7 linked regions of the Ovis aries genome follow. The main gene of each other region encodes a partner of the protein of the gene in region 7 in a complex. Links are inferred from orthologs where the notes say so. Each region holds a gene or a part of one and is shown on either strand. Other genes may lie near its edges. The genes, in order: MED8, MED26, MED23, MED31, MED1, MED19 and MED16.

What was found.
Region 1: MED16 (region 7) and MED8 share a complex: the UniProt entries of both Homo sapiens proteins name them as parts of the mediator complex. The link is inferred for Ovis aries from reciprocal best matches to the Homo sapiens genes MED16 and MED8.
Region 2: MED16 (region 7) and MED26 share a complex: the UniProt entries of both Homo sapiens proteins name them as parts of the mediator complex. The link is inferred for Ovis aries from reciprocal best matches to the Homo sapiens genes MED16 and MED26.
Region 3: MED16 (region 7) and MED23 share a complex: the UniProt entries of both Homo sapiens proteins name them as parts of the mediator complex. The link is inferred for Ovis aries from reciprocal best matches to the Homo sapiens genes MED16 and MED23.
Region 4: MED16 (region 7) and MED31 share a complex: the UniProt entries of both Homo sapiens proteins name them as parts of the mediator complex. The link is inferred for Ovis aries from reciprocal best matches to the Homo sapiens genes MED16 and MED31.
Region 5: MED16 (region 7) and MED1 share a complex: the UniProt entries of both Homo sapiens proteins name them as parts of the mediator complex. The link is inferred for Ovis aries from reciprocal best matches to the Homo sapiens genes MED16 and MED1.
Region 6: MED16 (region 7) and MED19 share a complex: the UniProt entries of both Homo sapiens proteins name them as parts of the mediator complex. The link is inferred for Ovis aries from reciprocal best matches to the Homo sapiens genes MED16 and MED19.

What each region holds. Positions count from the first base shown.
Region 1 is NC_056054.1:18,064,140-18,067,180, forward strand, and holds the end of MED8 (mediator of RNA polymerase II transcription subunit 8), read right to left. Parts: intron 2,774-3,041; coding exon 2,633-2,773; intron 2,439-2,632; coding exon 2,357-2,438; intron 1,989-2,356; coding exon 1,740-1,988; intron 1,013-1,739; coding exon 948-1,012; 3' UTR 628-947; downstream 1-627. UniProt on the Homo sapiens protein: Component of the Mediator complex, a coactivator involved in the regulated transcription of nearly all RNA polymerase II-dependent genes.
Region 2 is NC_056058.1:6,188,998-6,193,433, forward strand, and holds the start of MED26 (mediator of RNA polymerase II transcription subunit 26), read left to right. Parts: upstream 1-1,451; 5' UTR 1,452-1,712; coding exon 1,713-1,784; exon of another isoform or gene 1,785-4,436. UniProt on the Homo sapiens protein: Component of the Mediator complex, a coactivator involved in the regulated transcription of nearly all RNA polymerase II-dependent genes.
Region 3 is NC_056061.1:57,023,453-57,027,305, forward strand, and holds part of MED23 (mediator of RNA polymerase II transcription subunit 23), read right to left. Parts: intron 2,768-3,853; coding exon 2,593-2,767; intron 1,953-2,592; coding exon 1,789-1,952; intron 1-1,788. UniProt on the Homo sapiens protein: Required for transcriptional activation subsequent to the assembly of the pre-initiation complex. Component of the Mediator complex, a coactivator involved in the regulated transcription of nearly all RNA polymerase II-dependent genes.
Region 4 is NC_056064.1:25,114,912-25,119,258, reverse strand, and holds the start of MED31 (mediator of RNA polymerase II transcription subunit 31), read right to left. Parts: upstream 2,925-4,347; 5' UTR 2,858-2,924; coding exon 2,830-2,857; intron 1,979-2,829; coding exon 1,901-1,978; intron 1,429-1,900; coding exon 1,332-1,428; intron 1-1,331. Other genes in the region: C11H17orf100 (uncharacterized protein C17orf100 homolog), read left to right, coding at 3,309-3,686. UniProt on the Homo sapiens protein: Component of the Mediator complex, a coactivator involved in the regulated transcription of nearly all RNA polymerase II-dependent genes.
Region 5 is NC_056064.1:39,606,859-39,611,241, forward strand, and holds the start of MED1 (mediator of RNA polymerase II transcription subunit 1), read right to left. Parts: upstream 2,996-4,383; 5' UTR 2,787-2,995; coding exon 2,762-2,786; intron 712-2,761; coding exon 605-711; intron 1-604. UniProt on the Homo sapiens protein: Component of the Mediator complex, a coactivator involved in the regulated transcription of nearly all RNA polymerase II-dependent genes.
Region 6 is NC_056068.1:79,749,990-79,754,533, forward strand, and holds the start of MED19 (mediator of RNA polymerase II transcription subunit 19), read right to left. Parts: upstream 3,056-4,544; 5' UTR 3,023-3,055; coding exon 2,806-3,022; intron 2,748-2,805; exon of another isoform or gene 2,125-2,747; coding exon of another isoform or gene 2,025-2,124; intron 1-2,024. Other genes in the region: TMX2 (thioredoxin-related transmembrane protein 2), read left to right, coding at 3,481-3,669. UniProt on the Homo sapiens protein: Component of the Mediator complex, a coactivator involved in the regulated transcription of nearly all RNA polymerase II-dependent genes.
Region 7 is NC_056058.1:41,098,817-41,102,669, reverse strand, and holds part of MED16 (mediator of RNA polymerase II transcription subunit 16), read left to right. Parts: coding exon 1-102; intron 103-253; coding exon 254-446; intron 447-939; coding exon 940-1,156; intron 1,157-2,395; coding exon 2,396-2,479; intron 2,480-2,965; coding exon 2,966-3,092; 3' UTR 3,093-3,106; intron 3,107-3,853. UniProt on the Homo sapiens protein: Component of the Mediator complex, a coactivator involved in the regulated transcription of nearly all RNA polymerase II-dependent genes.

The sequences.
Region 1 (3,041 bases), on a different chromosome or scaffold from region 7:
GGAGAAAAGCCATGCTAACTGAGCCCAGGAACCAGGCATACTTTGAGGATGACTCAACCACAATGAGAGACGGTGTGAGGTGCAAGTCCCCTTTCCCTCCAAAATATGAAAGAAAAAAAAAAAAGGTCTGGAGAACAAGGGACATTTTCACTTGCTCACAAAACCCTTTCTCACGTAGTCCTGCCTGGCAGAGCCACTTCCTGAGGAAGTCCCCACCTACTGGGACTTCAGCATCTTCCCTGACATGCCCAGGGTGGGGTAAAGGATAGGGGACTCTGACTATTTCCCAGATGAGAGCTGAACTGGCTTCTGAGAGGATGGAGAGTAGAGCAGTCCCAAGCTTCTCCAGAGTTGTAAGTGGATGGTCTGTCTCAGCCCGGAGGCCTCGTCACCTGCAGCCTGGAGAGATGGCCAGGCTGGAATGTGGGAAGCAAGGCCTGTGGAGGCAGCGGGCCTCTAAGGACACAGAAGCTGTCACCATCTCTGGCAGCACAAAATAAACACAGGCTTTCAAACAAAGCTGAGCGGTCCACGATCTTGTGTCCATCAGCTCACCACAGACACGAAGCAGTTTCAGATCAGGGCAAGTTCTGGATCGAGGACCGAGGAGGGGGCAGTGGGGAGAAGTGGCTGTAGAAACTCTCATTTATTGAATACTCATTATTTCATAGATTGTGCTAAGTGTTTTACATCATTTTCCCATTTTAATCCTCACAACAACCCTATGAGGTAGGTATTATCATCATTTATAAACCAGAAAACAGGCTCAGAAAAAGTAGGTCACTTGCCCAAGGTCACACAGCTAGTTGGCAGTGGAGATGGGATCTGTCTGTGGCCGAAAGCCTGTGTTCTTTTCATTGTACCCATCCAGGTCAGCTTTGGGCAAAAGGCAGTTTCACTGCCCAACTCTGAAAAGAACACCTGGGAGTGGAGGTTGCCACTCACACTCACCGCTGGTAGGGATGCATGGAAGCCGACTTGATGTTGGTTTTTATCCCACTTGGCATTTTCCCTAAAAAGAACACGAAGAAAGACACCTGAAGCACAGTCAGATGTTCGTCATAAATCAGAAGTGTTGCCTCCCAGGTTCCCTTCTGTCATCTCCTCCATCAGCTCAGAATCTGTGGCATCTGACCTTGGGTGACAAGGCTCAGAGGTACAGCTCCCTGCCCAGCCCTCTACCTGAAGATGGTCAGGAGGAGGAATAGCGGGAAGGGCTGGAGCACATCCCTGCAGGCTCTTGCTCCTCCCCTAATGGAAAAAGAGAGCTGTCCCTTTGCCTAGACAGCTTGGAAGAAAATATTTCTTCTAGCTGCTTATATCCGAACTCCTCCAGACTGTTCTGATAATTACTAAGTGAGCAGAAGAGACAGGATACAGAGCAAGGAATACGCGTAGCACTGGAAAACCTGCCTGCTTGTCAACTCCCAACACATCTACCCAGTGATCCTAATACCTAGGGTGAGACACTGACAACACACCCACCCAGAGTTAAAGGGCACAGAAGGGTAGCTAAGGGCAATTTTAGTCGAAGTTCTTTCTCATTGTCTGGTGTCTATTAACAGAGTCTCAAATGAGACTTTCACTCTCAAGAGTTTTTTTCTGGGTCACAGTCCAAGGAGAAAAGGAGAATGTCTCCAGCCCTGGGGATGGGGTGAGGGGGAAGTGTGGCAGATAACCCAGTTTATTCTCACATCCCTGCTCAAGGTCTGTCACCAAGCCAATCCTTGTCACCTTACCTGGCTGGCCTGCTTGGGCCATCTGCACCCCACTGAGCATTGGCTGCTGCTGATTTGGCGCTCCTGCTATCTGCACCTGCTGTAACCCTGAGGCTCCTGCGAGGACTGTTCCAGCTCCCGGCTGGCCTGGCTGGCTAGGACCACTGCTGCCTGAAGGCCTCCAGTTAGACAGCCCCTTTCCAAAGGCAACAGCTGCCACTAAGGCGTTGGTATCTGCCGGGTTAAAGGTCTGCTTGTTCGGCCGGAGACCTGAAGGGCAAAGTAAGTGGAGACCCTGAGGTATGCCTCTAGCCCTGGACTTCTTCTAGCACCAGGAAGACCAGTATGAGTGCCAGGGCTTGGAGTTCTGACTTCGGTAGCATCCAGACTTCCTGGCAACCCAGAGGAAGAGCCAGAGGACCCCCATGACTATCTCAGAATTCGCCCTTCTCCCTTTGCTCCTTTCTCCACCTGCCCCAGTGCTGGCCTGAAATATAGAAGGCCAACAGAATAGATGCATACCCTTGGCTAAACAGCACATCCCTGCATCCTCATTTCACCACTACCAATACCACCCTTCCTATTCCAGTGATCTTATCCCTCATTCCCCCATCACTTTGCCACCAATCCCTCCATACCTCCACTCTCTGATTCTCGTTCCTCTTTGCTGATTTTCTCCAGGAGGTTTGAGCACATTTTGTTCAAGCTCTGGATCTGTTTCTGTAACACATGTAAGTTTGTGCAGAATTTAGGGCAAGCAAGAAATGATTACAGGAAAGGTTCTTCCTTGAGCTATTCCAGGGGCAATGGAGGCATAACCAACTGCCATACCCTACAATAGAGAAGTGGGAATACTCAGCCTCTTATGGTAAAACTCGAGGGTGTAGGGCAGCAGGGCAGGGACTCGGTCCAACCTGCGCTGCGTCAGCACCAATGCGAGCAGCATCCGTGGTGAGCTGCTTCTCTTGCTCTTCAACCTCAGGGTCAGGCTTGGTTCTCAGATGGTCAGGGACCACCTCGTGGCTGAAAACAGGTACCCGTCCTTCAGTCTGCCTCTGTAACACACAGATTTTATGATCCTACTGTGCACTCCAAGAAGATTCAATTTTGGCCTGATATACACATAGTTCCTTCCACAGGCAAACAGTGCACTTTCAGGGAAAACATAACCTGAGACTAATAATATCTGGCTTCCTAAGACACTATTCCCCTCATTCCATCCTTCAACTCTATCTACTCACACCCTGTCTCTACCAGATCTAAGGATAAACCCTTCTCTACCACATTTTAATCAAAGATTGAAATAGGACAGAAGGACAAAAA
Region 2 (4,436 bases), about 35 Mb from region 7:
ATAAATTAAAGCGAGGTAATTTGCCCATATTTATTTTATCCTACAAGTGTGATGTAAAACTTTTCACACGTGCAGGAGCAGGCAACCACAACCACGTGGGGCAGCAGCCGTTTTTTGCAAATAAAAACGCTTCCCAGAAGCATGACAAATGGAAGACTAACAGGTGTAGCACAGAGCCGCCGAGGCGCGCATGTGGTTCTCATCAGCTGCCTCTCTCCTGTTTTAAATGTAGGTCTTCCTGTAACAAGAAGAAAAGTTATTTCTCTCGAGGCTGCGGCTAATGATCCACTCACTCACCTGCCTTTCTTACCCGTTTGCATAACCGTATATGTAATAAGAGCTTCCACGGAGAGCCGGCAATGAAAGAAGGCAATGAGGAGGCGAGGGGCCAGGAGAAGCCCTTAGACTTGACATTTAACAGTTCTGGGTTTGATCGGTAACTCTGGGTGACCTAGGGCCTCAGTTTCCTCCTTGGTAAGGGTGTTTCAGTTTTCCAGCACCACCATGCAAAGCAGGGTGGGAAGGTCTTTTAAACCAGTGATTCTCAACAGGGGTCGATTCTACCAGCCAGGTGACCTCTGGCAGTGACTGGGGACATTTTTGGTCCCCTGCAGGAAAAGGGTGTTACTGGCAGAGACCAGGGATGCTGCCGAACATCTTGCAACGCACAGGACAGGCCCTACAACAGAGTGATCCAGCCCCAAATGTTACTGGTGCCCAGGCTGAGAAACGCCGGAGTGGACACAGGTTTGCAACGTTGGTGTCAACTCATGCGGCCTCGGGGCTTTCCTAGCTGCGGTAGCGGCTCCTCCGTGAGACACTTTGCTGTCTCATGTTTTGGGGATCGTAGCCCGAGGCGCTGCAGACCCCCGACTCGCACCGCCCCCTCTGGAGCGTCCCACAGCGCTCCTCAGTTGACCCTTCCGCGCACAGAATTACAACGTGGACGTCTGCCTCCTGGCCTCCCCGAACGCAGAGGAGCTGGGAAGGACCCCGGGGCGCAGGAAACTTGGCAGCTTCTCCCGCCCGCGATTCCCGTCATCTTCGTCAGAATGGGAAAAGCTTTTCTACCCTAGGAGTGAGGTCCTTCATCTGCCCTGTCCGCCCAGAGCGCCAGGGTTCAAGGACTCGGCGCTCACCTAGCGTTTCCGTCGGAAACCTCCTGCCGCCACCCCCTCAACCTCCAGGCTTGGGTGGGGGCGGGGCCTCCAGGCGGCGGCCGTTGCCCCGCCCAACCGCCTCCCAACGGCTCCCTGGGCCAAGCGGTGGGGCGGAACAGAGGTGGGGGCGACTGCGCCTGCGCGCGCATGCGTGGAGTCTAGGGGCGTGGCCTGCAGGTGGCCCCGCCCAGACTCAGCGTCTCTGCCCGCCCTATCTCCCAACCTCCTCAGCGTGGCGCCGACGCTGCGTGCGGCGCGGGTTACCCAGAGTGCTTCGCGCGGGGGTAGCTCACTGGAGTTTGGTTCTCGAGGCGGCGGCAGCAGCGGCGACGGCTCCGGCGGCTCCTCCTCCTCCTCTGGTGGTGGCGGCGCCCCGGGCCTGAGCCCCGGCCCCGGCTCACCTCTCCGTCACCCCGCGCGCCCCCTCTTTCCCCGGCGCCGCGGGGAACATGAGGCTCCGCTCCCGGAGGCCGGCGAGTGAGTGACCCCGGTTCCCCGCCTCAGCCCGCCCGCCCGCTGGCCCGGCCGCTCCCCCCCCGCCTCGCCCAGGCAATGACAGCGGCTCCGCCGTCTCCGCAGCAGATCAGGGACCGGCTGCTGCAGGCCATCGACCCCCAGAGCAACGTAAGTACTCCTCACACGGGTTAAAGTGGAGGCCGCGTGGGCCCAGGACCCTCCCCCTCCCTAGTGCTCCTAGTCCGCCGGGCTCCGAAGGATCCCCCGGACACCCAGCTGCCCCTGAGGGCCGCTGCCATCCCTGTCTCTCTTCCCCCGGGCCCGGGCCGGGGGCTGGTCGGGCAGCCCGGCAGCGCTCGGTACGTGAGGCCGAGGCTTTAATGCGGCCTGGGCGAAGGGAGCAGATGGGAGCTGAGACTAGAGTTTTTCCCCCTCATCCACCCTAATTCTACGACCCTTGCTGTTCCTGACTGTGCTTGCCCACCTCGCCCTTACCATAGTACCCGCGACCCCCGGGAAGCCCTCCCGGCGGGGGGGGAGGGGAGGGGGAAAGGCTGTGAGCAACTGGTGTCCGGGGTAGGACTCGGGGAGCCCGTGCCGCCGGTGTCTCGGCCTTATCGATGAGGAGGGAAGTCTTATTTACCTTGCCTCCCGGCTGGAAGAACCTTTCTGGCTTCGAAGGGAGCCCCCCTGGCCTCCTTTACACCTAGCCGGGTGCCCAAGGCTCGTGGAGAGTCCCTTTCGGTTCTGAGAGTGGACTTGCTTCGCTGGGTCTCTCTTGGGGTCGCTGCCAACGGAAGATGATCTTGTAGAGAGTGGGATTCTTCCTATTACCTTTCTGGGCCTAAGTATTCCTTGCGTATCAGACCAAGGCAGAGCCCCGCTTTTGGGTAGTGAATTAGAGGTGATTATGTGCTCTCCCATTCCACCCAGAGCCCTTCTTCGTGTGCCCCCTACGTGGGGCCCTAGCCTGTTGGTTTGTGACCTAGACAGTCAGGGTTAACCCCAGGGTGTCGATTTCTCAGGTGCTGCTCCACTGAGGCTGCTGTTTGTGGAGGGATCTCCCCTGCCCTTCACCGTGTGTGTTGGGAAGGATTTATCTAATTCTCATATTTTCTCTGAGTGGTTGTCCGTGATAGGGGTTATTTTCCCTTGTGGCCAGAGCAGGTTCAGCAATGGCAAGATGTTGTAGCATCCAGGTATGAAGTGAGCCCCTGCATTTCCTGGGAGACCAGGAAGTGGCCATTGAAACCACTTTAATGTGCTGGGGATGGAAGAAATAAACCATCTTCGGCTTGGCCAGGTAACTTAGGTTTCTGTCACTGTGGGGACTTTTGCTTTTCCTTTACATGAGTTTTGCTGATTACTTTTAGCAGTAGGTTTTAGCCAGCACTGTGGGAATAATTCATGGTTGGATTGTACAAATTTGGTAGAAAGAGAGGAGTTGTGATCTTTATAAGACTGATTTCTGTATCATAAGTAATTCCTGGTCTTCAGGCCCCATGAAGATAGACTTGGTGGTACTTGTCTTTAACAAATGTTGTATACATTTTTGTTATGACTTTGGGGGTGGAGTAGGCACAAGCTATATAAAACCTTGCAGAATTTTTGCAGTAACTGGTGCTGCAGCAATTCCCAAGACTGAAAAAGTAGAGGATAAAACAAGTGAAATGAAAAATGTAGCCTTGATGACTTTCACCTCAGAGTGTAATTTCTCGAATTCCATGTGCTTGTTTGCCTTGCAGAGATTCTGAATGGTTGCTGAGATATTAGCACTGATCCTAATACCACCTAGGAGAGCTTTGGGATCAGGAGGCGCTTTAACAGGCAGTCACCATGTTGTAGATTAGGTGGGGCGGTGACCTCAGGGGTTCCAGTGTTTTGTAAGACTCTAAAGGGTTCCTAGGAGAACAGGAGGAAGAGGGTCCAAGCCCATGGATGTGTTCCGTATCATGGAGTGCACATTTCACGTGGCTTCTCTGGGACGACTCAGAGTCTTACTGATGTAAGTGTAGTGGATAAAATCGGGGTACTGTCTCTGAATATGAGTGATGAGAAAGTGCCTCCTTTAAATGCTGCTGTTGTCAGTGATGTTCCTGGGTGTTGTTACAAGCCATTTGACAGGAGTGTGGCTTGGAGCAAACTCCGCGGAGAAACTCAGAGCTGTGGAGGAATAGGTTGCCGGTAGAGATGGTGTGACCATATTTCTGCAGTTTCTCTTGATTGAACTGGGCCCAGGTGAGAGCTAGGTGGCTTCATCAAGGCATTGCCAGCACACAGCTGCTCTTCTCTGCCTTACCCAAGTAGAAACTCCACTTCTGCATAGTTAGTTGACACATATTTAAGATGCTCCTGGAAAATAAAAATGGGGACAGCGTTGAAGAGCCAACACTAAAATTAAACCTCTTTTGAGACAAGCGACTGAGAATTGTGTCATTAATGCTTACCTTTATGGGCATGCAGTTATGACAACAAACTTAACTTTTGCTTGAAAAGTCAATGTCAGGGAGCTGACTTAATATCCACAAGTATCTAAAAAGTTAGGGAAGTAACAAAGTAACATTTTCTGATCATCTCCCTGACAAAGAGAGTTCTTAAGAGGAAAGTTCTTTGCTCTAAATTCTAGCTTCTGGAGTACTTGAATATCTATAGCATCAGGCTTTGATTTAATAATTTTTGCCAGCTCAGTAATAAATTTTGTACACTTCTTTTCAAAAAGCAACTGAAAGTTTTTTAGAACAGTGGAATCCTTGCTCTTAGCGTCGTATGGCAGCCCAGGGTGTTGAAAATCTTTCCGAAGGGCACTGTGTGCCTTTGTTA
Region 3 (3,853 bases), on a different chromosome or scaffold from region 7:
TTACTGAGCCAAGGAAATAGAACTGTTAAAGTATAGCAGATATCTTTTCTGGTGATTGAAACACCTATAGTCTATAATCCTCTAAATCAAAGAGGTTTATTTATGTAAAATAAGACAGTATACACAAATGTATTTGAGGTTGCTAAATTCAGTAACTATTTCTCTAAAATAGCCATTCTCAAAGTGTGGTCTGCAGACTTTGTGGGTCCCCAATATCTTTCAAGAATTTGATGAGGTCAACACTAATAAAATAATAATAATAATAATACTAAGATACCATTGGCCTTTTTCCCATGTTGAAATGTGCACTGATGGTGCAAAAGCAATGGTTGGGTAACACTGCTGGCCGCTGGAACAAATCAAACAGTGGTACCAAATTATACTCACAGCCACTGTAATCTTCACCACAGCATACTCTTAGCAGGAAAAAAACTGCCAGTTTCACTTAAGACTACCTCTGATAAAATTGTAAAAAAGATTATGTCTCAGCCCTTAAGTACATCTGTTTGTAACATCTTGTGTGATAAAATGGAAGCATGCATAAGGTGTTCCAGCTACATATTAAAGTATGAAGGTTATCTTGAGGAAAAATACCTTGTGATTGAATATTGAGTCAAATTAGCTCTTTTGTCATGGAATCCCAATTTTACTTGAAAGAACATATAGTTTTTCAGATTTGGGCATTAGGCAGATATTTTTCTTGAAAATTAATAAAGGGAGCCTCTAACTTTAAGAAGAACAAATAATTGTATCTTTCACCAATGATAAAATTTGACCTTTCAAGCGAAAATCTGAATTTTGGATAACTTGTATCCACTATCACAAGCCTAATAGCTTTCTAAAACTTAAAGACTTTTCCTAATGAAATTTGTAGCAAGGTTAAAAAAATATAATTTTCTGATACTGTATAATGAAATGTGTCAACATTTATAAATCTACCTACATAATCCAGTAAATCAATGTTTTCCAAAAAACCAACCCATAAAGTTAAAATATGCATGAACACAAAATCCAGTAAATGTACAAAATAGATAATTGGATTATAATGTGACAGAGTACAGAGTTCCTGATAGGACTTTGGATTCTATATTGCAATGAAAATTTAAGAAATGACCAATTATTCAATTTTGTGTAACATTAAAGCAGATTCATAATTAGCTAAAAAAGCTATTTGAAATACTCTTTCCCTTCCCAACCTCATATCTATGTGAAACCATAGTGTTTTCTTTTTTTTCACTTACTTCTTCTAAAATAACATCTATAATAGGTGGAATGTAAGAGAATTCAGCTATGTTCCTTTATACCAGACATTAAATTCAGCTATATTCCTTTACACCAAAAATTACACTATTTATGTTTACATGTAATAGGCTTTTTATTGTTATTTTAAAATGAGTCAGATCTTAAAAAGTCCTACTGTAATACCTAAAAAAGCAAATATCATAGATATGATCCATATAAACAGAAAATGTTTGGAATTTTAATCATTATTATTATTATTTTTGAGTATAATGTGGTCCCTGAGACTTTCAAAAAGCTCAGGAACCATGACTTTAAAATGATGTCAGACGACTAAAAACTGATGTTTAACCAAGTTAAAATGGTAGTACAGAAGAACTTGCTTTAATGACTGAAATGGTAACGATAACCAAACAACAACTGGTTTTTCTGGATACAAGTGAGGAGAATCTTCTCATGTGTTACCCCCACCCCCAGGCCAGCAGTCAGGAGACACAGCACCCTCTGACACATCTGTTTCTGGGGCTGGTGGCTGCATGGTCACTGTACCTGTTACGTGAGTTGCTCTAGCTAAGGTCAGTATCAAGGCACGGTTCAGTTCTTCGGATTCCGCTGAGAGCACTGTCTTGGGATCACTGAGGAAGCGTGTAAACTGCGGCTGTACTTCTGAGCTACCCAGTGCTGTTATAAGCCTGAGTGCAGTGCTCTCAACACTGCAAAGTGGGAGAACAAACACAATCATGAAGAAGTTAAGCTGCATATAAACTCAGAACTCTAGAATTAAATGTGATTCTAGGTTAATCACAATGGGGAAACATGCAAACTATAAATTTCTCTTCTTCGAGTAAAAGCAAACTCTTTTGTGTGAAAACAAGCTTTGCTTAACTTGTTTTTAAAAATCTGAGGTGTCAAATTTAATAGTAAAAATCATCCGGCATTTTTACCCATTTGAAAAAGACAGCGTGTAGCTTTAAGGACTAAAAAAAAAAATCTCACCAGGATACACAGCGTTTCAAAAATGACATCTCAAAAAATTTGGAATATATTTTCAATTAGAGCAAAATCAAAATAACATGATACTTTAACCATAATCTAAATAAGCACTAAGTTAAAACACAATGTCAAAGTCGTGGAAGTACTTGTTCTCAGTCCAAATTCCCCAAGCAATGATTCAACTATCTTAGTAGGTTTCTATTTAAGAAGTTGAACTCTACTTTTTCTATACTGGAAATAAAACACTCCAGAAGCAGAGGAATTTTATGACAGTGAATGTTATAAGGTAATGGATTAAGTTGGCCATCTCAAACAAATTTTCTAACAAATCCAAGGAAAGACAGTCTCCAGTGAGCTCACCAGAGATGGAGCTGGTTCTGGTTTGTTTGTGCAACTGCAGCCAAAGTATGAAGATGACTTAGGAGCTGAACTCTGTAATGGGGCTGAATGTGGTGCATCCGGTAGCTGAACATCTCAAGAAGAGTGTGCAAGATACCCCAGGCGTGAGATTTAAAAACAGTTGGCAGAAGCTGACCTTGAAGAAGAAGAAAATTTAAGACACCAATCAGTAAAAGCTATGAATTAAAAAATAATTAAAGAAAAGTCACATCGAGTAAAATCTATGCAAAGATTTTGATCATGAACACACACACATGCAAACACACAGATACACACATATATATCCCCAATTTTCTCCATAATTTGTACTTTAATTATAAGGAAGAGGACTTCCTTGGTGGCTTAGCTGGTAAAGAATCCGCCTGCAATGCAGGAGACCTGGCTTTGATCCCCTGGAGAAGGGAAGATCCCCTGGAGAAGGGGATGGCTACCCACTTCTGGCCTGGAGAATTCCATGGACTGTATAGTCCATGGGGTCACAAAGAGTTGGACACAACTGAGCGACTTTCATTTTCACTTTGTAAGGAAGAAAATTCAGATTCTTATTGTAACACCAAGTTTGCATTTTTCTTTGGAATTTGAAAAATGATAGTCAAGTTCATCTGTGAAAGTAAAGAGCCAGGAAATGGGAAAAAATTGCTCTAGCCTTCCTCATGTCTTCATTTATTTTTATTTAGTTATCGTTTAAATTATTTTAATAAAGTTAATGTTCCCAACCTTTCAAAGCATGAGGATCATTTTTTAATATACAAATTATATCATAACCCATTCCTTTTTGCTAAGAAAGCTTAATTTGACTTTCAATTATCTGGAAAGAAGAGCAACCATGGTTAAAATGATACCGCATTGGTAAAAAATTAGAATTACTGCAAATCAGAAAAACACTTTCATATTAGAAAGTGTTTATTATTTAGAACTGCATAATAACTAACAGACATTATAATGCAGGAATTGAATTGTAATGCAATTGAATTGTTATTACATTGAATTGCACTGAATTGTAATGCAATGCAGGAACATGCCTTCCATATTGCCAGTCAGACCTGGAACTTACTGCTGTCCGGGGGCAAACCAGTAAGCCAGCCAAATGGGGTCATGGGTTTTTATGATTACAGACAGGTCTGTCCTGTCCTGTTTACTACATCCCAAGCACCTAGTACAACTGCATGCCCCACCCCCGACCCTCACTTTTTAACCACAACTTTTAAAAAATGTATCCCAT
Region 4 (4,347 bases), on a different chromosome or scaffold from region 7:
CATCTGTCTACAATGTGGGAGACCTGGGTTTAAGCCCTGGGTTGGGAATATCCCCTGGAGAAGGAAATGGCAATCGACTCCAGTACTATTGCCTGGAAAATCCCATGGACAGAGGAGCCCGGTAGGCTACAATCTATGGGGTTGCAAAGAGTCGGACACAATAATACAAGGAGGAACTTTCTGGAATCTAGCTAACAACGGAATTGGCTGCCCCTGAATTAGTATGTGTTCACTAGAAACCTCCAGCCAGTATACAGATGACCATCTCAGCAATGTTGTGGGTAAAATTGAACCTGACGGTGTCCAGGGCTCAGTGTCCAACACTGAGTCTCTAAGTCTATAATACATACATATAACATGTTGCAATCTAGTAAAAAAATATATATATTTTCTCTGGATTATTAAATGAATAAGTGGTTCTTTTATAAAGGGCCAGTAAGGGTGGAAAGGGTCCCACAGGCAAAAGGAGGATGTGGACTTCATAAAGCAGCTGTTATTAGACAGAGAAAAGTGGCTTGGCCAAAGTACAAGTCTTAAACATTCTCCTCTCAAACTTGTGTCTGTTTAGGGGAAAAAAAAGGCTAGACATTTCACCACTGCTTTTTGACTACCTATTTAAGACAAAGCAGAGGTGGGTGTTCAAGGCTTATTTTTTATCATTAAAAAGAAATGTTTGTGATTACAATATGCTCCTTGCATTTCAGTAAGCCTTAAAACGAGAGTATCTATTGCACAACCTGAATGATAAATTCATGTATTTATTATGTAAGATATATAAAATAAGAAAGCAGCTATTAAGACTCGGGTACGGTTACCTTCTCCAGAAACCCTTGCTTACAAGTAAGTACCTCTTTCTATGTTTTTTCATTTTCAGGCTATGGCTGTCATTGCATATATGGACTGCGGGTTCCTTGAGGTCAGAAACTCAGTGAGATGCAGGGAGTGGTACAAGATAAGGTCAGAGAAGACAGGGACAGATCACACAGGGCTAAGAGACGAGATTTTCTTCTGCATGCAATGGGAAGCGACCAAAGGGTTCTAATGGAATGTAATTTCTATTTTTAAGAGACCAAGTTGGCTTCTGTGCAGAAAATGTTTCTTCTTTGTTTGGCAGGGCAGGGAGAAAGGAGGAATACCAATGAGTAGATACTGCAGTAATCCCAGTTAAGTTAGAGATGATGTGTCTCGTATTAAAATGGAGGCAACTGAAAGGAGAGCAGAGATTCAACAGGTATTTTTTCCAACGTGAAAGTAAGAAGTCTATTAAATATCAGTGCTTTGGAATATAATAAAAGTACACACATGTTTAGGACTATAAAAATTAAACTTACTTTAGATACTTGGCATATTCTGGTTCTTTCCAGTAAAGCAAGTACTTAAGATAATTAACAAAAGCTTTATCTTTGAAGTAACCTCTTTGGGCAAGAACTGAAAGGCATAAAAAAAAAAAAAAAAATACATCTGTAGAGCACACCAGTCCTTGGACTACTGATCTGTGACTAACATAATCGTAAAGAATTTACTTACATAACATTCCCACCACCAACACACACTGAATTCAAAACAGAAGTCCCAGTTTGCTCAATTATATATACCAGTATAAGTGCAACAGTCATTCCATTCAGTTAAGAATGTACAAAACTAGATACTAAAGTCATCTCTCAGAATCCACAGGGAGTTGGTTCTAAGAGGCCCCGCAGACACGAGAATCCACAGGTGCTCCAATCTCCTGTACAAAACAACATAGTGCCATGACAGTATTGTCACCCTCAGGATGGGCAGATTCCACCAACTGAGGTTGCCTCCAAGGATACAAAGGGCTGACAGTACTATGAATTTTGACTCTTCTATCAGAAATCGTAACTAGCTATTCACTTCAATGAGGTGCTCAACAACTTACAGTTAAGGTAATTTGGGTTGGCTAAACACTGTACAAATTCCAACTCCAACTGAAACCGCAGTCGATTTCCAGCATCATCTAGGAGAGAAGATAGCAAAATCATCCAAAATAAATGTCACTGTATATAATACTGATTTTTAGACAGAAAACAGCAGTACAGACATCTGACTAATGCTGAGTTACATAAAGAAGAGCATGCAAAGGTTTTCCTAAACTGGGTGTAGGAGGAGAAACACCTTCCTTATAAGTCTAAGGAAAGCAAAGCCCTGATTAAGAAAAAAAAAAAAAAAAAAAGGTTTATCTAAAGTTAAATTATCAAAGAAAACAAGATTATACATGGAGCAGAACATTAATCACTCGTGAGCCACCATGTTGGGACTTCACAGTGATCACTAGGATAAGCTGCAGCAATGTGCCTTGCCTTATTTTGATAGTGCGTTACAAGCTGTTAAGTGATCAAGCTTAGCAAAAACAAAATGCTAAATCCATCAAGAGACGTTCAGAATGCAAGATGAAAGAGACCCTGGTGAGTATCAAGAAACGCGTGCTTACGTGAGACCCGTTAGTGGCACAGTAATACAAGAGTTCGCTGACGATATTTTAAACTTAGGCAAGCTCATCTGAGATGCAAAAAAACAACTCGAGGAAGCGGTTTATGATCCAAAATCTCTCCTTTAGTCTTCTGGAAGCCGGTGGGGCCACTGTTTGAATAACTAACGGGGAGAAAGGATCGGCCAACAAAACAAACTCTGAAAAGGCCAAATTACCTTCGCCCTTCCAGTCGCTAAAAAAAAACCCTGGTGCCTCCCGCTCCGATCACTCACTCTGCCGGGAGTTGGGCCTGGATTCTCAAAAAATCCCGGGAAGCAGGTGTCTGGACCCGGGACAGTTTCTATTTGACAAAACGCGAGGCTCAGAGCGCTACTCACCTGTCTCCATAGCGACGGCCGCGGCCATCACCAGCAGACACTCTTAAGTCCCCAGCAACCCCACACAGCCAGGATCGGAGAAACAGGGAAGGTCCGGAAGTCGCAGCGTCCCCTTCCTGCCGCGGGGCAGTGTGGGATGCGGGGGTGGGCACAGCTTCGCAAGGGGGCGGGTGGCTCCGCCCATCCAGGGCCCGCCCCGCCCCAACCCCGCCTCCACCCGGACAGGTTCTTGACAGGCTAAGGGGCGATGCGGGGGCAGACGGCGCTCTCGAGGGGACGAACCCAGCGTTCCCAAGGAATCTTAGGCCTCCCCGCCCCAAGATCACGGTGCCTCCACGTGGTTCGCGGGACCCTCGACCACCGCTCTGCCTGCATCACAATGGCATGTGACGTCGCTCCTCACCGTATAAAATAATCCTTCGGGGATTGTGGGGCTGTGGGGCCTCCAAAGGTCAGCTTGGCCCTGTTACCCCCATAAGATGGCCTCACCCCTTCGGGGAAAGCCCTCTCCGGCCCGGGCGGAATCCATCCGCTCCGAGGAGACGGCGACGGTCAGCGTGGAGACCTCGTCCCACCGCGTGGAGACATCCTACCGTCACGTGAGGACATCTTCCCGGCAGGTGGAGACCACCCAGCGCAGCAGCGAGGGACCCTCCGTCTCCTCCTCTGGGAAGCGGCTCCCTCGAGTCCTCGAGGTGTCCTCCCAGCACGTGGAAACCGCCTCGCAGCTCACAGAGACGGCTTCCCGCCACGTCAGGGCCTCGTCCCTGCGGGTGGAGACGTCTGTGCACCGCGTGGAGAGCACGCCGCGGCGGGAGAAGCCAGCCGCCCGCCATAACATCCAAAAGGCCCGATGAAATGCTGCCTTCCTCGGGGCCACGAGGGGGCCATGGCCCTTGGCCAGGGCAGAATCGCCTCCAGTTCGCAGCCTGCCTGCTGCCAGGTGGACCGATCATCTTTGGTTTCCTGGAAACAGTCCACAGATCAATTTAAGAAAGAGCCAAGCTGCGGTTTCGGGATTTAGCCAACATTCATTGACCCTCCTGCACCTTGGACCAAAGGCAAGCCTTTGACCCAGTGAACTATTTTAATTTGAAGCCAGCATAAAAAGTTTTTAGGCTCTAGATACTGTATGTGTTAAGCTGATGGAAAAGAGACTGTTTGAGCCTCCAAGGCAGGTGAGTTTTGAATTGGGGGCCCTTTAAATAACCTTGGCTGCTTCAAACCTGGAGAAGGAAATGGCTACCCACTCCAGTATTCTTGCCTGGAGAATTCCATGGACAGAGGAGCCTGGCAGGCTACAATCCATGGGGTCACAGAGACCTCGACACAACTCAGCGACTATCACTCACTCACTGAATGACCTTGGCTGCTTCAAACTTAGGGACAAGGAGCAAACAAATCATAATCAGTGGAATTATATGCCAGCTGCAAACCTGAGTTGCAAGCAACAGACTTTCCTTAATTAATTACTTGGCTTGTGTTTATGTTTCAATATATTTCTCTTTATGCCAAGTC
Region 5 (4,383 bases), on a different chromosome or scaffold from region 7:
ACCCCACTCCCTGTATACCACTTAACTAAGGGCTCCCCATACTGGTGAATGCCTCAGGAAGGAGAAAGTACTGTAGAGGAAGTCACAGAGTAAACAAGTGAAGTTAATAAAAATGATTGCAAACTCTTCTACCAGTATAGATACAATGAAAGTATTAACACATTAGAATCAAGGAGCTTGACAGGAAGTAAAAAGTAAATGTTTCTCTATATCAGGCTATCACATGTATCTTTTTTTTTTTTTTTTTTGGCAGCACTGTGGGACTTGTGGGATCTTAGTTCCTCAACCAGGGATTGAATCCAAGGTTACAGTAATGAAAGCTGGGAATCCTAAACACTAGGTCACTAGGAAACTAATTACGCTCTGTAAGTGTTTCTTACAACTTTTGCCTAAAATATCCCAGCTTACTATAACTCATGATTAACACAATTCTATTAACATATCTTCTTCTTAGGTAGACTTAAAAGTTGAAAGCCATCATGTTATGAGAAATAAAACTGAAGACACACCATAATGACTAGCTAGAAAAAGTCTACATAGGTAACTTAGCTTATCAAATAATTTTCTAAGCACAACACTTTATCCAGTTCACCATAGTCCTCACCATGACTTGACGCACAAGCTTAATGGTTTCACTCCAAGGTCTATTTTGGTTAAATTTTGCATGGAGCCGTTCCAAGAGAGAACTCATCTTACTCAGCTTTTCCGACTCTAAGATATAAATCAGAAAAAATTATTAGCAACTCTTCTTTCAAGACCTTCCACAGTTTTTCTTGCAAACAAAACTCCCATACTTCATCCTGGTACGAACTCAAGTTAAAATCTTATCCAATATCATTTACTTCAAAATACACAAAGAATTCATTTCTAATAACAAGTAGACAGAAATTATGGGCCTAATCTAACAACACTATAGAAGGGGACTGCTTTCTCTTCAGACTTAATGAGAAGCAAAAAAAGAACCACCTCCAGTCCTGAGGATCAAGACTACTATTTAATGACAAAATAATTTCATGATAGGCATGAAATCCTTTGCATGACATATGCAGAGCATACATTTGAACATGGCCTTACTATAGTTAGTTGGTTTTCAATGTGAAAATAAAGACTTTCTTAATTTTTTCACATAATTTTAAGAGATCAATTTGTAAGTATTATCAAGAAAACAAGCTTCATTTGCCATTCAGCTATTTCCTGTTCGAATTCAAACTATATGAACAAAGGAAATGTCAAGTGACTAAAGGATGAGTTTCAGGCAAAGGTAAGAGAAAGGTAGAAAAGAATGGATCCCAGATAGTGTTTGAAGGAACCTCCTATAACCTCCAACACTCCTGTAATTCTTTTAACTGCTTAACATGAGCAAGGACTGTGCTGGAGACCAGCAGTGCAAAAATACAATATGCCTGAGATGACATCTGTGAGGGGGTGTGGATAAGTTAATGTGAAAATAACCATCATACAAAGCAAAATGAGATATGCTCTTAAAAATAGAAACACATTACTATCAAAATTCAAAGGAGGAAAAGTGTGTAATTAGTTTAGGGATGTTACAGAAAAGATGTCTTGAAAGATGAATAGAATGTCAGCAATCAAAGATGAAGTAGTGACATCTTCAGATCGAGATTCAACTCCTCCCTCCAAGGCCTTCATCTTCTGGAAAACTGTTCTTGGGGCTGTTTCATTCAGTTTATAATTCTGGAGAAATGTTTGGCAATTCCCATATTTCAGACATTCACTCAGGCACTATTTTACATCTCAGAGATACAGCAGTGAGCAAACTAGACAAAATTCCTGCCTCACTAAGATTCCACTTACACTAGTCATTCGTCTGCACCCTTTTTTCTTTCTCCTTCAAACACACCTCCCTTCTCTCCCTTAAGGCGGCCGACGATAAATCTTTACAAAAATGCTTCAGTGAAACGTTTTTTTGAGCAACTATTATGTGCCCGGAGAAGGAAACGGCAACTCACTTCAGTGTTCTTGCCTGGAGAATTCCATAGGTGAAGGAGCCTGGTGGGCTGCAGTCCGTGGGGTCACAGAGTCGGAAACGACTGAGTGACTAACACAACAACACAACATTATGGGCCCAGGACTATACAATGATGAGTAAGGCAAGATCCTGCTCTACAAAGCTCAGAGCACATTGGAGAAGACAAAAAAATAATCCTGTATCAACAGAACTATGTCCAAAATGCTAACGGAGCATCTAAGCTGAAATGTGGAACTTTAGAGAATATAAAGTTACACAGAAAAGTGTTTTTCAACAGTTTTTAGTTCAGATATTTAAAGACTGAAATTAAAAGCATTTTAAAAATATACAATACTACAAGATATGAACGCTGTGACATTTTTTAAAACTACTGGCTTTTAATACCATAAGGACCTAATCATTTCATTCACGACAAAACATCTTACAGTACTTTGATATATAGCGTCCTATTATTGTTTTATGTCATCATTCAGATTTCTCTTTTGAAGAAGAAAGTTTTACGTTCACTTGCCCGGTCTCCCATCTCTTTAGGCTAAAAAATGCCCTGAGGCCCAAATGTTGCCCCTTGCCAAATAGGAAACCTTCACACTCAAGTTGGGAGCCCCCATCTCCCCAAAGTCGAAGCTCTCCATCACCAAGGAAGGCAGTCAGAATCTAAAACTCAGACATATCCCGCCTCCTAGATCCTGAGCCCTCGGGAGAGTGGCCCCCGCGGAGGCATTGGCTCCCCCAGCTGTGTCCCGCCCCCTGATCTCCCCCTCAGTCACTCACCCTCGGTCTCCCCCTGAGCCTTCATCCTGACGGCGGGGAGGGCCTAAGTCCTACACAAGAGGATATGCCCTTCCCCACCAGTAATGGAGGAACCAAGTTGGTTCGGGCTCCCGGGACGCAGGGAACCTGCAGTCCCACTCTTCCAGGGAAGACTCAGTCTGAAGTCCCCGGCGGCAAGAAGAGAAGGGTGCTCGCGGCCGCCGCCATCTTCCCCAACGGAACTTCCAAAAGATCGCGAGATTAACCGTGATCCTGCGAGAGAGAGAAGGGGGAAAGGGGCTGGGCACCAAATATCGCGAAAAATGATTTATACGTTGCTTCTCGCGAGATTATCCCCACCCTGCCTGCTCTCTGGTTTGTCTCCGACTTCTCAGAGCTAGGCGTGGAGCTTGTGTAGTGCTAGTGTTCAACACCTCTGTGGAAGTTGGCACTTTCGATTTGGCTTTCAAGCAGTTTGCAAAGTAAAAGCCCCAGCTGTCTTTACTGAAATGCTAGCTTTTCGAAGAATATTGCTGTTAGGAATATTTTATTAAAACTTTCCCTTTATTGAGATACTAGACGTTGGGTCTTTGTAACACGACGTCCCAAAGTAGCCCAGTACACTTAATTTCCATTACCGAATTTCCTTTTTAATTTCAGAAATATTTTTCTTGAGCATTTTCAATATTTCTGAGGACGTGGAAGATTTTGAGTTAAGAAAAACTTGTTTGCAACAGTCATGAGTTCAGGTGAGTCGCTCAGTCGTGTCCGACTCTTAAAGACCCCATGAACTGCCTGTCCATCACCAACTCCCAGAACTTGCTCAAACTCATGTCCATCCAGTCGGTGATGCTATCCAACCATCTCATCCTCTATCCTCCCCTTCTCCTCCTGCCCTCAACCCTTCCTAGCATCAGGGTCTTTTTCAATGAGTGGAGTCTTCGCGTCAGTCAGGTGGCCAAAATATTGGAGCTTCAGCTTCAGCATCAGCCCTTCCAATGAATATTCAGTAGTCATCGATTATATTTAGGATCCCAAAGGTGTTCACAATGGATTGTATTTTTTTTGTAGTCAGTAAAAGCAAGCAGGTTAGCTCACACTCTACACTACAAATCACAAAGAATGTGTGGTCCTGTCTCTTGTATCAGTAAATTTTCACGAAGAGAAATCTGGATTAATGCTGAGAATTTAGAAGTTCCTGCCCATTGGAACAAGAACCAGACTAAAATACAATTCTACTAGCTCTGGGTGGAAGTTCTTAAAATAGTTAAGGTTACTCTTTTTTTTTTTTCTTTATTATTATTATAATTTTTTTTTGAAATACATCCTTGAGAATAACTGCTGAAATTTTACCTAATTTGCTGTAAGGATATTTAGCAATGGATTTCCAGTGGCTCTTTAGTCTCAGACTTTTCCCCCATATTTCAAAAATGATATGCAAACATCCTCCAAAACAATTCCTGCTGGTAACTACAGTTCAGATGAACAGACAGATAAGAACAAATCTTTATTTGTGACATGTTTATTTCGACAAAGATATGTATAACCATGCTCCTTGAAAGTAGAATTAAAATTTACTTCTTGTCTATTCCTCTTACCCTCATTCCTTTCAGTCACTACACAGAGAGTTTTTTGAGGCAGTA
Region 6 (4,544 bases), on a different chromosome or scaffold from region 7:
CCTGACCAGGGATCAAGCCCCTTGCAGAAGAAGCATGGCGCCCTAACCACTGGACTCTCAGGGAATTCCCTTGACATTTTTTTGTTTTTTTAAACTCCAAATTTTCCCCACCTCACTCATGGTTCCTTTATTTTAGTACATGGCACCCATGCTCTCTAGATATCTTTAGAAGCTGGAGTCAGTTCAAAAATCTTAATGGTTTCCCATTCCCTCAGGAAAAAGCTCAAATTCCTTCAACTTGCATTTGTCGTTGAAGGTATAAACATCCTACTGAAACATCACTAGCTGGAATCAAGATTGCTGGGATAAAGAGCAACAACCTCAGATAGATGACACCACTCTAATAGCAGAAAGTGAAGAGGAACTTTGGAGCCTCTTGATGAGGGTGAAAGAGAGTGGAAAAGTTGGCTTAAAACTCAACATTCAGAAAACTAAGATCATGGCATCAGGTCCCATCACTTCATGGCAAATAAAAGGCGAAAAAGTGGTGGCAGTGACAGACTCTATTTTCTTGGGCTCCAAAATCACTGCAGACAGTGACTGCAGCCATGGGATTAAAAGATGCTTACTTCTTGAATGGAAAGCTATGATAAACCTAGACAGCATTTTAAAAAAGTAGAGACATCATTTTGCCGATAAAGGTCCATACAGTCAAAGCTATGGACGTGGGATGAACTGAAAGATGTCCCTGAGACTAACATGTATGTCTAAAATGACTCCCGGTTTCCACCTCCTCAAACTTGTTCTTGCCTGACCTCAGCACTACCATCAATCCTGTTATTCAAGCCAAAAATTCGAAATCACCCTCAATTCCTCTCTCCTCCACTTCTATATTCAATCCTTCATTCCTGTCAGTTCTACCTCTAACATTTATCCTGCATCCATTTACTTCTTTCCTCCATTGCTATCGCCTAGTCTAAACCACCTCTTTCCTGGACCACTAAGCAGTAACATTATTGAAAGGGGGATTTTTGTAGAAACTAACGCAATAATTAATTCAGCTATTTCACTACCACTTTGCATTATTACATTCAATAGTTACAGCTGACACACCTGTAAAGTCTTCTCCAGCACCATGAGTTTCATTTTCACTTTCCGTATCAGAAAACAATCACTAAGGTTTTCTGTCTCTTTGTTGGTCTAATAGTCACATCATCTGAATCAGAACTACATTCGGAACAACTATCATCTGCTGCTGCTGCTGCTAAGTCGCTTCAGTCGTGTCCGACTCTGTGCGACCCCATACACGGCAGCCCACCAGGCTCCCCCGTCCCTGGGATTCTCCAGGCAAGAACACTGGAGTGGGTTGCCATTTCCTTCTCCGATGCATGAAAGTGAAAGTGAAGTCACGCGGTAGTGTCCGACTCTTAGCGACCCCGTGGGCTGCAGCACTAGGTGCTGCTCGGACAATAAGAGAAAGTATCTGCATAAAATTCACTGAAAAAATTTTCTTCATTCAAAACTGCATGGTGTGTCACTTTTTAAAATTTTATGAAAATAAACTTGTGTTTATAAGGTACACAAGGTTGGAATAAAAACCTAACAGAGCAAAATGTGAATGATAATGTCAATGATAAGCTGTATGATGAATCCTTGATCAATTTTAAGCTTTAACAACTTCCCACGGTGATGTTAATGGTTTCACTCTCTAAAAAAGGTATTGACATGTTTCTGGTCAATAATATGTTAAAATCTAAATGTCTAACACAGGCCTCTGCCTACACTCTCACTTTATCTATCACTCCTCTGTTCACTTCACTGGAGTCCAGCTGATCTTCTGTTCCTCAAACATTACAAGATTTTTCTCACATTGGGGCTGTTGATTTCATTTTTTTTGTATCCAGTTATTCCTTCTCCCACTCATAAATGGCTAGCTCTTTCTCTGCGCTTACATTTTAACTCTAAAGTAACCTACTCAGAAAGAGCTTCTCTGATCACTCTAGCTAAAGCAGTTCAGCTCCCTTAAATCTTATCACATTTTTTTTTCCTACAGCCGTAACTGCTTTGTGATTTCACCCTGTTACCTTTTGCCTCCTCCATGGGCACGTAAATTCCCAAACAGGCAAGGATCTTGTCAGCCTTATTCACAGTTGTATCTTCAGTGTACAATAACCCCTGGTACATAAAATAGGTGCTCAACGAAATAAGTTTTTGAATGAAAGAGTCTGGTCCAATTCTATTCACTTGTTCCAACAGATGAGGAAAGGCCCAGGCCCAGAGAAAAAAGAAAGGCAACAAACCAACAGGAAGTCGGAAGCAGATTTGGAACTAGGTCCGCAAGGATGTTAAATAAGGACTCTCAAATTCCAAACTTGAACCCTGGGTGCTTTTTCAGTTAGCCACTCAGTCGTGTCCGACTCTGCGACCCCATCGACTGTAGCCCTCCAGGCTCTTCCGTCCACGGAATTTTCCAAGCAGGGATACTGCAGTGGGTAGCCTTTCCCTTCTCCAGGGTTCTTCCCACCTGAGGGCTCAAACCCAGGTCTGCCGCATTGCAGGCGGATTCTTCACCGTCTGAACCTCCAGGGAGTAACTTTTAGGGAATCATAAAACCACCATCAGCTTCAGAGACAGGGCGGAGCGTGAAAGGCGGCCACAGAGACCCATTCTTCTCATTCCCAGTCCATCCTGAGGATTCCTGTCGTGCCTTTGGCCTTGAATTCGCAGTCGTTTCCGACACGGAGCTCCGAAATCCCCGCACGCGCCGCCCGGGCTTCCCCTCACCTCCCTCGGCATCTAGGAGCCACGCCCAGCCCCACCTCGCGGCGATCTGATTGGCCGGCTTCGGCCGGGCCTCGGACTCACCTGGCAGCTCCCTCATTAGGTAGAAGGGGCCGCAGCCTGCCGCCGACTTGTCGCTCCCGGGAGGGGCCGAAGCGGCGGTCGGGGGCGGGGCCGGGCCGGGCCCCCCGCCCGGAGGCGGTGGCGGCGGGGGGGGCGGCTTTCCGGGTCCGAAGCCGAGTGCCGCTGGGGGAGGTGGCGGGTCAGCCTGGGCCCCGAACAGCGCCGTGAAATTCTCCATCGTCCCCTCTGCCCCGGCGCCGTCCCGGTGTCTGGCGTTAATGATTCTCATTGGTTAATCTTTTCACGGGGTACCGCCCTTTTCCTCCAGGAGTCGTTTACCATTGGACTGCCTCTGGCCCTGCCTACCTTCTTCCGGCAACGACTTCCGTCGCCTTCTGAGAACGTTCAGGAAATACTCCTTAACATTATTAAATTTTCCGAGGCCTCCGCTCGCAGCAATCGCTTAACCAATGAAATGACTTAGGTAGTAAAAGCGACAGCTAGGTTAGCCAATAGCATATCAAATCCCTCTCTCACCTCCCTTACCTGCCGTAGAGGGCCAATCAGAGATCTAGCTCCGGGTCTAGAGGCGGGCCATCTGACACTTGGCCCAATGGAAACCTTCAATGGTGAGAGAGGCGGGACCAGACCTACGGAAGCCGAAGAGAGCGGCCGGTGCCTCAGGGGGCCGAGAAGATGGCGGTCCTAGCGCCTTTGATTGCTCTCGTGTATTCAGTCCCGCGACTTTCACGATGGCTGGCTCGACCTTACTACTTTTTGTCAGCCCTGCTCTCTGCTGCCTTCCTACTCGTCAGGAAGCTGCCCCCTGTCTGCGAAAGTCTCCCCACGCAACGCGAAGACGGCAACCCGTGTGACTTTGACTGGGTGAGCGACCCTCCTCGGGACCCCACGACCTTGACTGTCCCCGCCCTGGTGGTCGCAGCCGGGAGCCCCGAGGGACCGTTTTGAGAACGCCTCAGGTTCCGGGCCTCTTAGCGGACTTGACAGACTGCTAAGAGTGTAGGGCGTGGATTGTTACCGAGCCTAACCCTCCTCTTGTTTAGGGTGAGAAAGCAGCCGGTTAGCTCGCCCAGCAGTCTCAGCCTTCTGCCTTTTGAGGCCAAGCTCCTTCCCACCTCCCAATCCATGCTCGACCAGAGTCTTCCCCAGACTGGGCCCTCGCACTCTCTTCCAGTGTTGCTCGTTAATAAAGAACCAGTGAGTTGTACAAGGCGAGTAGTATTTGTAGTATTCTCGTTTTATTGATGAAGAAACGGATCTTGGCGTAGTTAGGAGACTCGTCCAAGGTCACACAACTAGTGAGCGACGAGGATTTGCAGCCACTCTTTAGCCACGGTAACAGCACACAGCCATTTCTTAAAATCAAGTTAACAGTCTCTCAGGGCGGACTGTGTGCTGGGCTGTGTGCCGCATACTGGGGATGTAAAAATAAATAAAATTGTTAGGCCTATGGAAATGGAATTGTAAAAAAAAAAAAAAAGAAAAAAACGCTGTAAAGAAATCTGTCTCAAGCCTCTTGGAGTTCTCCCTGAACTGGAATGGAGGGACCACTCAGAAAAATAACTTGAGGGGCTTCCCTGGTGGTCCAGGGGTTAAGACTGCACTGCCTTTGCAGGGGGCCTGGGTTCCATCCCTGGTCAGGGAACTAAGATTCTGCATGCTTTAAGGGGAAAAAAAAATGTAAAATAAGTTGAAGCTCTCGCCCTCTACTGAATAGCCACATACATGTTCTGAGGAAA
Region 7 (3,853 bases):
GAGGAGTTCGTTCTGGACATGAACACGCTCCAGGCACTGCAGCAGCTCCTGCAGTGGGTGGGCGACTTTGTGCTCTACCTGCTGGCCAGTCTGCCCAACCAGGTGTGCCCTCTGCCCCACCTCCTCCAGCTTAGCTCCTCCCAGAAGCCCCACCTCCTTGCCCCCACCCCTCCCCAAAGGCCATCTGATGCCAACTCAGAGGTCCTGGAATGTTCAAACACAAAGTGCACAACCAGAACCTTCTTCCCCATAGGGCTCCCCGCTGCGACCAGGCCACAGCTTCCTGCGGGATGGCACATCGCTGGGCATGCTGCGAGAGCTGATGGTTGTCATCCGTATCTGGGGCCTGCTGAAGCCTAGCTGCCTGCCTGTGTACACGGCTACCTCAGACACTCAGGACAGCATGTCCCTGCTCTTTCGCCTGCTCACCAAGCTCTGGATCTGCTGTAAGACACCTGCTCCTCTTCTCTCATTTCCCCACCAAAATTCCTGCCCTGGCTGAGTCCTCCACCATAATGTAATCTCCCGTAGGTCAAATTTGCTCTGTTGTGGCCCCCCTACTATTTCCCCAGCACCTAGCACAGATCCAGGAACAGCGTGGGTGCTCAGTAAACATCAGCCACTCTTAGGCTTCTACTTGTCCTGTGTAATGTGTTTCTGGGACCAGGCTCTGTCATTGTTGCCTCCCTGATGCCAAGAAGGGCACCCAGTACTCGCTGCACATTTTTTAAATGAATAAATGGGTCCCCATTTTACAGAGGAGAGGACCGGGCCCGAGAAGGGGAGGGAGCTTCCCAGGCTCTTCAAGAAGTCAAGGCAGGGCTGGAGCCTGCACCTGGCACTCTGTGAGCCTGGAGGAAGCCATGATGCCTCCTGGTGGGCAGTGCTGTGGGCATGGCCGCTAAGCATGATGTCCTGCGTCCCCTGCTCCCCCCATAGGTCGTGATGAGGGTCCCACAAGTGAGCCAGACGAGGCGCTGGTGGATGAGTGCTGCCTACTGCCCAGTCAGCTGCTCATCCCCAGCCTGGACTGGCTGCCTGTGAGTGATGGACTGGTCAGCCGCCTGCAGCCCAAGCAGCCCCTGCGCCTGCACTTTGGCAAGGCCCCTGCTCTTCCTGGTGGCTCCAGCAGCCTGCAGCTGGATGGCCTCATCAGGTATGCACACCCACCTCTGACTCAGGGCCCTGTATACCCTTTCTTCCAGAAGGGTCTCCCCTGCCTGACATCCCCTGTCACATGTCTGTCTCAGGGCCTCTGCCCATGCTGTGCCTGCTGCTTCCTTCTAGCCTGACCTGAGTGCTACCCCCGATATTCCTCCCCTCCCTTGCCCCTGAGATTCCTCCTTGCCCCCAGACTCCTCCCCTCCTCACCCACCTCCCCTGCCCTGTCACTTCCCTCCATCCAGGCACTATATTGTACTATAGTGTACAGGTCATTGTCTTGTACAGATTTGTGTCCTTGCTTGTCTGGGTGATGTCATCTCCCCCCTGGCCTGTCATGGCCCATGTGGAGGGCCCATGTGGCCAACCTTGGTTACTCCGGCTCCAGCCAGCCCCTCTGGAGCTCAGGTTCACACACCCCCCCCCCGACCCCCACTATATATCGCACTGCAGCCCAGAGTGCTTGGCAGGTCCCAAGGCCCCAGAAAGCAGAACACTCTTAGGCAGACCTGGCTGGGAGTGACCTCGGGGGCCATTCTTTGGGTGTGCGGAGTCCAGAAAGCCCAGGCCTGCTGAGGGAGCAGCACCCTGGGTGGGGGTTTGTCCCCACTTTACAGGCAGGTAAACTCAATCTCCAAGGTGCAGTCCAGAGATAGACACCAGGCCAGAAGGCGAACCTAGGACCCCACAGGCCGCCTCCCATTCAAGGTGTCGTGGGATGGATTCTCACATGGTCCTCTACTGGGGAGGGGCCTTAGCATCCCCACAGCCCCCCTCACCGCCGGGAAGACTCTGGGCCTTCCTCCTCCACTTCCGGATTTTCTTTTTCATCTCTAAAGCCGTGGGAGGAACGTCCTGATGAATCACACACTGTGGTTTGTGTTCGAGTTTCAGGAAACACTTTACACAGAGAGGTGGCTGGTGGCCAAAGGGCTTTCACACTCTCGGAAGTTTTCAAACTTGGGTGATACGAGTGCCCAGCCTCAGGAATCCTGATGGGTTCGCCCCACTCTGCTCTAGGTGCCACCCTCAGCAGGGGCCTGTGCGCGGAGGGTGTGTAGGAGTCCGGCTCCCGGATTCTCCCTGCTCTCACACATGCTTTGCCTCTAGGAGACTGACCCATACAGCTGTGTGTGCGCATGCGCTTGTGTCTGCATGTGCATGTGTGCGCCAGTGCACATGTGCATATGTGCATGTGCACACCCCCGAGCCTTCCCCTGCTCCTCTCCATCAGGGTGCCAGGCCAGCCCAAGATGGACCACCTGCGGAGGCTGCACCTGGGCGCCTACCCCACAGAGGCTTGCAAGGCGTGTACCAGGTGAGCAGCTGCAGGAGATGCTGTTCCACTCCACCACTGGCAGCTTCCCAGCCTATGAGCCAGGGTCCCAGGATTGTGTCTGCCTGGGGCTCCTGAGTGGGTATCCCTGGCGATCTTGATAAAAGGTGGGGCCGAGGTGAGGGGTAGCGGCGAGCGGCTGGCCCAAGCCTGCCCTCTTGGAGCTCCCAGTGGCCTGACAAGGGCAGAGATGGAGGCGTGGCCGCTCCGCGCTGCTCATGCACATGTGGCCCCGCTTGCTGCCAGATGACCCCAGGGCCACCCCACTAGGCTTGGCCAAGCCTGTGTCTACTCAGGGAAGTGAGGGGTGGTATTGAGTGGAGACAGAAGGATATGGAGGAATTAGCTCACTGTGTGGGGTGTAGGGGTGCAGGGAACACCATTCCTGAGGTGCAGTAGCATGTGCCAGGCCCTGTGGCTACAGCCAGCCGGCCTAGCATCCCATCCACCTGCTTGCTCTATCTGCAGGTGCGGCTGCGTCACCATGCTCAAGTCTCCCAACAAGACCACCGCCGTCAAGCAGTGGGAGCAGCGCTGGATCAAGAACTGCCTGTGTGGGGGGCTCTGGTGGCGCATGCCCCTCAGCTACCCCTGACTACATCTCAGCCTGTAAGTGCATTCTTTTTTTCTTTTCTTTTCTCTTTTTTTCACTTGTTATGGTCTTTAATTATTAGTTGGATAATTTTTTTTAAGTTATTATAGTAAGGATTACAGTGTTGTTTCTGGCATATGGCACAGTGATTGAGTCATATGTATACACACATGGTCTTCTTCATACCTTGTCCATTGTGGCTTATGACAGCGTATTGGATATGGTTCCCTGTGCTGTACAGTAGGACCTTGTTGTTCATCTTGCTCATATGTAGCAGTGTGTGTCTGCTCATCCCACACTCCCAATTTATCCCTCCCCTCTTTCCCCTTTGGTACCATAAATTGGCATTCTTTGTTTGAGTTGGTTTCTGTTTTGTAAATAAGTTCATTTGTCATATTTTAGATTTGACAGGTAAGTGATATCAAGTGATTTTTGTCTTTTTTCTTTTTCGTCTGACTGACTTCACTTAGTATGATAATCTCTGGGTCCATCCACTGCTGCAGAAAGTGGCACTCTTCTCTTTCATGGCTGAGCAATATTGCTTGTGTGTCTATGTGCCACATGTCTGTCCATTCATCTGGTGATAGAGCTGTAGGTTGTTTCCATGTCTTGACAGTCGTGAATGGTGCTACAGTGAACACTGAGGTGCATGTGTCTTTTTGAATTATAATTTTGCCTGGATATTTGCTCATTTTCTGAGGAACCTCCATAGTGTTCTCCACAGTGGCTGCACCAACTTACATTCCCACCAACAATGTAGGAAG